Macaca mulatta: one gene and its partner. The protein of the gene in region 1 interacts with the protein of each later gene in a pairwise test. Links are inferred from orthologs where the notes say so. Each region holds a gene or a part of one and is shown in the gene's direction. Other genes may lie near its edges.

The links.
Region 2: the proteins of MYOD1 (region 1) and ID2 interact in a two-hybrid assay, tested with the Homo sapiens proteins (2 studies listed by BioGRID). The link is inferred for Macaca mulatta from reciprocal best matches to the Homo sapiens genes MYOD1 and ID2.

The regions. Positions count from the first base shown.
Region 1 is NC_133419.1:47,742,491-47,746,979, reverse strand, and holds MYOD1 (myoblast determination protein 1), read left to right. Parts: upstream 1-1,534; 5' UTR 1,535-1,766; coding exon 1,767-2,396; intron 2,397-2,887; coding exon 2,888-2,966; intron 2,967-3,247; coding exon 3,248-3,498; 3' UTR 3,499-4,121; downstream 4,122-4,489. UniProt on the Homo sapiens protein: Acts as a transcriptional activator that promotes transcription of muscle-specific target genes and plays a role in muscle differentiation. Together with MYF5 and MYOG, co-occupies muscle-specific gene promoter core region during myogenesis.
Region 2 is NC_133418.1:116,141,360-116,145,945, reverse strand, and holds ID2 (DNA-binding protein inhibitor ID-2), read left to right. Parts: upstream 1-1,561; 5' UTR 1,562-1,671; coding exon 1,672-2,019; intron 2,020-2,354; coding exon 2,355-2,411; 3' UTR 2,412-2,418; intron 2,419-3,200; 3' UTR 3,201-3,965; downstream 3,966-4,586. UniProt on the Homo sapiens protein: Transcriptional regulator (lacking a basic DNA binding domain) which negatively regulates the basic helix-loop-helix (bHLH) transcription factors by forming heterodimers and inhibiting their DNA binding and transcriptional activity.

The DNA.
Region 1 (4,489 bases):
ATCACTCCTGCTTAAATTTCTGGTTTCCAGGAGGGGAGATCCAGGCAGGGATGTATGGCCAACAGAGATTCCTAGCCAGAGTGCTGAGAGGACTGTGTGAACTGCATATTCAGGAAGAGGTTGAGAGGCCCCCACGGGGGTGGCCGGTATGCTGAGGCTTGTATGGGAGCCAGAGTTCCCACATTCCATGGGGTGGTTGCCTCCTCCTGTTTCCAGCCTTTCCAGTGAGGCTGCAGGAAAGAGACAGAGCTGAGGCCTGGAGACTACGTGGGACTCTGTCAGGGCATGGTGCCATGGACGAGTTGTAAGCCTTGGGGACGTAGCATCCAACTCTGAAAGCCCCTTGCTCGAATAACTCTACATCACTGCCTGAGGGCTTCCACATCCTTGGTCTCTTCAGACTCTCATCCCCACCACAATTACTCCAAGAAATTACTGTCATTCCCAAATCTATAACTGGAAACTGAGGCTAAGGAAGGAGACAGGACTTCCACAAAATCACACAGTGGGGACACTCTGAAGTCTGGATTCAACTGGTCTGCAAATCACACTCTCAGAGACTTCAGGTGAGATGAGGTGAGATTCTCAGGCCAGGTCCTGAAGTTTGCGACCTTGGCCAAATGCACTTTCCTTGACTCAGCACCGCGGGTGAGGCAGGGCCAAGAACGGAGGAGAAGGGTTTTCTTCCCAGCTGAAGAGGCAGCTCAGCCTAGACCCCAGGCATGGCACTGGACAACCCTGCTGTGGAAACATGCAGATTTAGATGGACGGGATTCCTCACCTGGGCAGGATCCGAGTTTGGAGAGATTGGCGCGAAGCTTTAGCAGCAATCTCTGATTCCTGTACAACCATGGCGGGGTTTCTAAGCGTCTAGGGAAGAAGGACTGGGCCCACGACCTCCTGAGCAACTCCCAGGTCGGGGACTGGTGGAATATCACAGCCTCTACGACCCGTTTGTCTCGAGCTCTCCCACTTCAACTATCGGGGTTTCTCTGCCTGTTGTTGCACTCGTGCGTTTCTTTGCCCCTGACACTCTAAGCTTTCTGCTTTCTGCGTGTCTCTCAACCTCTTTCGGTCCCTCTTTCACAGTCTCACTCTCTCAGCTCTATGCCCCCAATCCCTTGCCTCTCTCCAAATAACTCACGACCTGATTTCTACAGCTGCTCTACCCATGGGTTCCCCAAAAATCAGGGGCAGAGGAGTATTAAAAGTCAGCTCAGAGGTGAGCGCGCACAGCCAGCGTTTCCCGCGGACACAGCAGTCGGGTGTTGGAGAGGTTTGGAAAGGGCGTGCCGGAGAGCCAAGTGCAGCCGCCTAAGGCTACCAGTCGCTCCCTCCCTCCCTGCCCGGTAGGGAACCGAGAGCGCGCGCCAGTGTGGAGGGGCGGGCTGGCTGGCCACTCTGCGGGCCCCTGCGGCCACCCAGGGGACTCCCCAAGCCCCGCCCCGCTGTGTTCCTATTGGCCTCGGGCTCCCCCGCCCCTAGCTGCCCGCCTGGGCTCCGGGGCGTTTAGGCTACCACGGATAAATAGCCCAGGGCGCCTGGCGCGAAGCTAGGGGTGAGGAAGCCCTAGGGCGCTGCCGCCGTTTTCCTTAACCACAAATCGGGCGGGACAGGACAGGGAGGGGTGGGGGACAGTGGGTGGTCATTCACACTTCCAGCACTTTACTATCAACAGCCAGGGCTCCCGAGCGGCAGAAAATTCCGGCCACTCTCTGCCGCTTGGGTTGGGCGAAGCCAGGACGGTGCCGCGCCACCGCCAGGATATGGAGCTACTGTCGCCACCGCTCCGCGACGTAGACCTGACGGGCCCCGACGGCTCTCTCTGCTCCTTTGCCACAACGGACGACTTCTATGACGACCCGTGTTTCGACTCCCCGGACCTGCGCTTCTTCGAAGACCTGGACCCGCGCCTGATGCACGTGGGCGCGCTCCTGAAACCCGAAGAGCACTCGCACTTCCCCGCGGCGGTGCACCCGGCCCAGGGCGCGCGTGAGGACGAACATGTGCGCGCGCCCAGCGGGCACCACCAGGCGGGCCGCTGCCTACTGTGGGCCTGCAAGGCGTGCAAGCGCAAGACCACCAACGCCGACCGCCGCAAGGCCGCCACCATGCGCGAGCGGCGCCGCCTGAGCAAAGTAAATGAGGCCTTTGAGACGCTGAAGCGCTGCACGTCTAGCAACCCGAACCAGCGGTTGCCCAAGGTGGAGATCCTGCGCAACGCCATCCGCTATATCGAGGGCCTGCAGGCTTTGCTGCGCGACCAGGACGCCGCGCCCCCTGGCGCCGCCGCCGCCTTCTATGCGCCCGGCCCGCTGCCCCCAGGCCGCGGCGGCGAGCACTACAGTGGCGACTCCGACGCGTCCAGCCCGCGCTCCAACTGCTCCGACGGCATGGTAAGGCCGGGACCCCAGGAAGTGAGGAAGTTAGGGCGGCGCTCCGAATATCTGGGATGTGCTTCCAAGGGCGGGGAGCTAGCCTTGCGGGAGGTTTAGTACAGGATCCTTTCCAAGCGAGAGGACCCCCGTGTAATGGGCAGCTGTCACTGGGGTAGCCTAATTGTTTTGGAAGCGTGCGGGCGTGCGTTCGAGCCACCCCGTTGGGGGCGCGATTAGAACACTGCAGCGCGGACATGAAGCTCTTTTTCTGTATTTTTCCCTACTTCCAAAATGTAAATTTGCGCCCCTTGGTGACTGTCCGCCCTTGGTTTGGCCCTGCATGTTGCAGACCTCATCTCCTACCCACCCGTAATCACCCCCAACCAGGACAGGTCTGGGCCCGGAACTCGAGGCTGGGGCTAGAGTTAGGGAGGGGGCGGCTACAGGGATTGGTGTTCGGGCCCCGCGCCGTCCCGCGGGCCTGACTCAGTCGCCCTTGCTGTTTGCAGATGGACTACAGCGGCCCCCCGAGCGGCGCCCGGCGGCGGAACTGCTACGAAGGCGCCTACTACAGCGAGGCGCCCAGCGGTAGGTATTCCGGGCTTCGCCCTGCTCGCTCCTCCTCCCCATGGCCTTCATGGAGCTATCCTGGCCTCTCTCTATCTAGGACGCCCCCACCCCAACTCACACACGCCTATGTCCCGGGAGGTGGTGCAGGCGATGAAATACTAAGCAAGTAGCTCCTTCTTTCGATTGTCCCGGACTCTGACAAGTCCTCAGTTTCCAATCTGTCTCAAAGTACTGGACCCAGGGGTGGGAGGCTTGTCGCGGCCGCACCCCTGCTTACTAACCGAGCCCTCCCCGCGCAGAACCCAGGCCCGGGAAGAGTGCGGCGGTGTCGAGCCTAGACTGCCTGTCCAGCATCGTGGAGCGCATCTCCACCGAGAGCCCTGCGGCGCCCGCGCTCCTGCTGGCCGACGTGTCTCCGGAGTCGCCTCCGAGCGGGCAAGAGGCTGCAGCCCCCAGCGAGGAAGAGAGCGGCGACCCCACCCAGTCCCCGGACACCGCCCCGCAGTGCCCTGCGGGTGCGAACCCCAACCCGATCTACCAGGTGCTCTGAGGGGCGGGTGGCCGCCCACCCGCCCGAGGGATGGTGCCCCTAGGGTCCCTCGCACCCAAAAGATTGAACTTAAATGCCCCCTCCCAACAGCGCTTTAAAAGCGACCCCTCTTGAGGTGGGAGAGGCGGGAGAACTGAAGTTTCCGCCTTCTGCCACCCAGGGCAAGGACTCAGCGCGGTTTTTTCCACGCAGCACCCTTCCCGGAGATCCATTGTGATGGCCGCTCCGTGTTCCTCGGTGGGCCAGAGCTGAACCTTGAGGGGCCAAGTTCAGCTTTCTCGCGCCCTCCCCCATGGGGGTGAAACCCTCCCAGACCTAAGCCCTGCACCGGGATGCACCGGTAATTTGGGGGGCGTGAGGCCCAGGTGCACTCCTGTCCCAAATGTAGCAGGTGTAACCGTAACCCACTCCCAACCCGTTCCCCGGTTCAGGACCACTTTTTATAATACTTTTGTAATCTATTACTGTAAATAAGAGTTGCTTTGCCAGAGCAGGAGCCCCTGGGGCTGTATTTATCTCTGAGGCATGGTGTGTGGTGCTACAGGGAATTTGTACGTTTATACCGCAGGCGGGCGAGCCGCGGGCGCTCGCTCAGGTGTTCAAAATAAAGGCGCTAATTTATACTGCGGTGGCTCCAGCTTTCCCTGGGCATGGGAGTGGGATCCGGAGGAAAATCCGCAAACTGGGCCAGCTGTGCCTCAGCGACCCCTGTAGGCAGCAGGCGGATTGCAAGGAGGAAGCCTGCTGCCTGGGGAAGGAAGGAGGGGTGCAAATTTGTCCAATACGTGGGGAAGTTCCTCTGACCTTGACTACCTCACCACACACTTCCGTGGCTCTTATGGAAGGGTACACAGGTTGATATGAGTATTTTTTAAACCCATGTCTGAGCTCGCCTCCCAGAGATTCTGATTTAATGTTTCTGCCCCAGATACCCAGGGCCAGGTACTGGTATTTTTTTCAAAAGCTCCCCAGGTGATTCTGAAGTTCATTC
Region 2 (4,586 bases), on another chromosome or scaffold:
ACGTGACAGCCAGAGACCGCTGGCCCCACCAGCGGATAAATTAATCATTAAGTGAAGGAAAAAACAGTTTCCCCATTATTGAGCTTTTCTTTCAGCCTCTAGGCCTGCCCCTTCCTCTTTCTGAAATGCAGAGGAGGTACAGATTGAGGCAGAAAGTAAATAAGATTTGAATATTGCCTTTCCTGGGGTTTTCTAGTTCATTGTTTTCTGGAGAAAATATTTTCAAAACAAGAAAGTGACATACTGTGATCAGGACAGAATTCTAGATAAGCTAGAATTATGTGAGAATTAGCAAGGTATTTGAGTAAATAGCTGCAAACTTTTTAAAATTTAGACTGAGTTCTTAAACATTCTCAGCCAAAACAAAACAAAACAAAACCTTGAACCTGTATTCAGCACTAGTGCTGAAAAGATTCCAAACCTCATATATGACAGAGTATTTTTTTTTTCTTAGTGTGAAGATGTTAATCAATGGCTAGGGCCACCTATCTGTCACAAAGCTTTGAAACTCCTCTAGGTGTTGGAATGTGACACCAGAAATCACAATTCTTGCATAATTAATCACATTACTTTGCCACCTACACTGAAGGGCACAGACCGGCAGCCTTTCAAGGGCAGTGTATGTAAATGTAGTTTCAAAATGCAAATTCTCCTAATTATTTCCGATTAATACTATCATTATAATAGCCCTGCCTCCTTCTTGAAAAGGAACCCTGAAAGCGCCCTGTGAGAGCTCCTTAGCGACCGGCGAGGTTGGGCATGGCTTCCAATAAGTACTCATTTTCCTGAGTTTACAGTAATGCCTCCCGCGCTGCTCCGGGTTGCAAAAACCCACACTAAGCCTGTCGTCGAATGCATGCGTGGGTGGTTTGTTTGTGTTAACATAACTTTTCCTTATCTGAAGAGACGAACTCACTCTACAAACGTGACTTTTCAGTGACAACCTAATTTGCGTTTTCACTTTCTTCTGAAATGCTTTCTATCTTTCCTCACGCTCTCCCTCCGATGGGTTGCAGTGAACTGTGGCTTCCCCCTGCGGTGCTGAACTCGCCCGTGTAGCCGTGATTTTAGGGCTGCCGACAGCTCCAAGGTGTGCAAGGCTTGGTCTGGGAACACCCCCAGGGCAAGGGTCCTGCCGCGCGTTTGGAATTAGAATTAAGAATGCACATTTAGGCGCCCAGGGTCTGCCCCCTCCCCCTTCCTTCTTCCCCTCCCCCATCTTCCCTCCTCTCCCTCCTCCTCCCCCCCTCCTTCCTCCTCCTCCCGCCTCCCGCCTCCCGCCTCCCCGCTCCCGGTTCCCCGCTCCCCGCCCCCCGCCCGCCTCGCGCTTACTGTACTGTACTCTATTTACCACCCCAGCTGGGCTCGCGTCCCGCCCACCCCGCGGGGATTGGCTGCGAACGCGGAAGAACCGAGCCCACGCCCCGCGCCCGCGCTTGCCAATGAAAGCGTCCGCTCGGCTTGATGGACGCGCTTCCTTCCACCAATGGGGACGAGGGGAAGCCCGAGCGTGTGGCCCCGGCGAGTGCGGATAAAAGCCGCCCCGCCGGGCTCGGGCTTCATTCTGAGCCGAGCCCAGTGCCAAGCGCAGCTAGCTCAGCAGGCGGCGGCGGCGGCCTGAGCTTCAGGGCAGCCAGCTCCCTCCCGGTCTCGCCTTCCCTCGCGGTCAGCATGAAAGCCTTCAGTCCCGTGAGGTCCGTTAGGAAAAACAGCCTGTCGGACCACAGCCTGGGCATCTCCCGGAGCAAAACCCCGGTGGACGACCCGATGAGCCTGCTGTACAACATGAACGACTGCTACTCCAAGCTCAAGGAGCTGGTGCCCAGCATCCCCCAGAACAAGAAGGTGAGCAAGATGGAAATCCTGCAGCACGTCATCGACTACATCTTGGACCTGCAGATCGCCCTGGACTCGCATCCCACTATTGTCAGCCTCCATCACCAGAGACCCGGGCAGAACCAGGCGTCCAGGACGCCGCTGACCACCCTCAACACGGACATCAGCATCCTGTCCTTGCAGGTAAGACCTGCTCCGGGGCCCCCGCCCCGCCGCCGCACACTCCCGCGGTCGCCTGGGTTGTCACTAGGAGATACGTAGCCCAGACGGTGACTTTCGCATGAGCTATTTAACTTTATTTTCATAAGAATCTGCCGTAGATTGAGCTGTGCGTGAAATTGCTAGTAAGTTCTGACATGTTAATGCGTCTGTTTTTGAATCTGAATTGTTACCATAAACGTGTTTAATGGAACTTGCTGGTCTGTGGACTACTTCAAAAAAACAAAACAAAACAAAACAAAAACCCTTTCTACTTAACATTGTCTTAACCTCGTACTCTTTATCCTCTTTCTCTCCAGGCTTCTGAATTCCCTTCTGAGTTAATGTCAAATGACAGCAAAGCACTGTGTGGCTGAATAAGCGGTGAGTGTTTGCTTGTGCCACCCGTGGGTAAACTGCCCTTCTGTGTGTGTGTGCGTGTGCGCATGTGTTTTTGCTTGTGTATCTGTAAAATGTCTGATTTGGTAAATGCATGCTTACTTCGCGGTGTTACCCGTACTACATTGTCTCACTAGACATGAAGGAGCTTGTAGTTCTGGGTACTCGAGATCACAGAACATTTTCCTTTAAAAGGAAATGATGCCAATAACTTACTACGAAGGCGGCCGAGGAACGTGTGTATTGGCTTTGTAGCAAATGTAATGCCCTGGCTCTTCCTACGATTCCTCTGGTACTACTATGAGGTACTAACCTCCACTGTAATTAATCTTATCGCCACAAATTCCACAGTGATCCTGCTTCCCTAAAACTATAGTCCTCTGGGATTCTCTGGGCTAGTTGAGGATTGCTACCCTGTGCCTTAGACCCTGTGATGTGGGATCCCAGACTTCCCTATCTGTTAACTAAAGGGCTGTTTTCAATCAAATAATTGTTACAAGAAGCAGACTGGCGCCTGTAGCACTGCTGTTGGAGATCCAAATAGGAGATTGGGTTGGGAAGTTTTTCCCTTGAGTCTCTGCTATTTTAATGTTTAATTTGCGCTGTCGAGGCGAGTGTGTGTGTTGCATCTGGACGCCAGGGTTTGCCCAATCTTTGAGTGTTTGGTTAAATGTTCAAACTGTGGCTTCCTCCCGGCGCCAGTCTGCCCGCCTCTGCCCTTAGGTTACATTCTCTCAAACATGCCTTTCTCTCCCAATCTTTTGCAGGTGTTCATGACTTCTTTTTTTTTCTTTGCACAACAACAACAACAACAAATCCACAGAATCTTTTAAGTGCTGAACTTTTCAACCATTTCACAAGGAGGACAAGTTGAACGGACCTTTTTGAAAAGAAAAAAAAAATGGAAGGAAAACTAAGAATGATCATCTTCCCAGGGTGTTCTCTCACCTGGACTGAGATATTCGTTATTTATGAAAAAGACTTTTAAATGCCCTTTCTGCAGTTGGAAGGTTTTCTTTATATACTATTCCCACCATGGGGAGCGAAAACGTTAAAATCACAAGGAATTGCCCAATCTAAGCAGACTTTGCCTTTTTTCAAAGGTGGAGCGTGAATACCAGAAGGATCCAGTATTCAGTCACTTAAATGAAGTCTTTTGGTCAGAAATTACCTTTTTGACACAAGCCTACTGAATGCTGTGTATATATTTATATATAAATATATCTATTGAGTGAAACCTTGTGAACTCTTTAATTAGAGTTTTCTTGTATAGTGGCAGAGATGTCTATTTCTGCTTTAAAAAGTGTAATGATGTACTTATTCATGCTAAACTTTTTATAAAAGTTTAGTTGTAAACTTAACCCTTTTATACAAAATAAATCAAGTGTGTTTATTGAATGGTGATTGCCTGCTTTATTTCAGAGGACCAGTGCTTTGATTTTTATTATGCTATGTTATAACTGAACCCAAATAAATACAAGTTCAAATTTATGTAGACTGTATAAGATTATAATAAAACATGTCTGAAGTCAGTACCTGAATTCCGAGTGGTTTTTAAGATCTCTCTGGCACTCACTCGCTCTTTTCTCTCTCTCTCCCTCGCACCCCGACACACATTTTCTTTATCCCCTTCTCCCTCATCTCCCCACCAGCATCCCCGAAGCCTTTACTTGTGTACAGAGAATCTCCTTATCAGATGTGTGGTAAGGCAGAGTGCTGAGTTGACAGGGACTGGGGAGGCTCTGAGCACAGAAATGCCTCTGAGTCCTGAAGGGAAAGCTTGGTTCTGTGCCTTAGGGCTGAGTTTAAAGCCAAGAATGAGTTGTGGTTGTGAGTCTGGGAGTGTGGAAGGACTACCTGTGTGAGTGGGCGTTAAGACGCTTCTCCGGAGTAAATGAAAGTTAATCAGGAGAAGGAAAGAGGCTGTACAGAATTCAGAACATGATTTCAGATTTAAGGGAAGGCAGAAACACCCGAGGGTTACTATTTGCCCAGGGAACTAAGCTGTCACCTGGCCCCAGGCTCCTGATGCCTCCTTGGCTTCGCCTTCGTCCACACCTTTAGCCCTCCCCGCCAACCCCACCCACCCCCAGGCCTCCGGAGACGGGGCTGGGCCAGACGCATTTTCCCGGACTTTTCAATCGCCCTCAGCC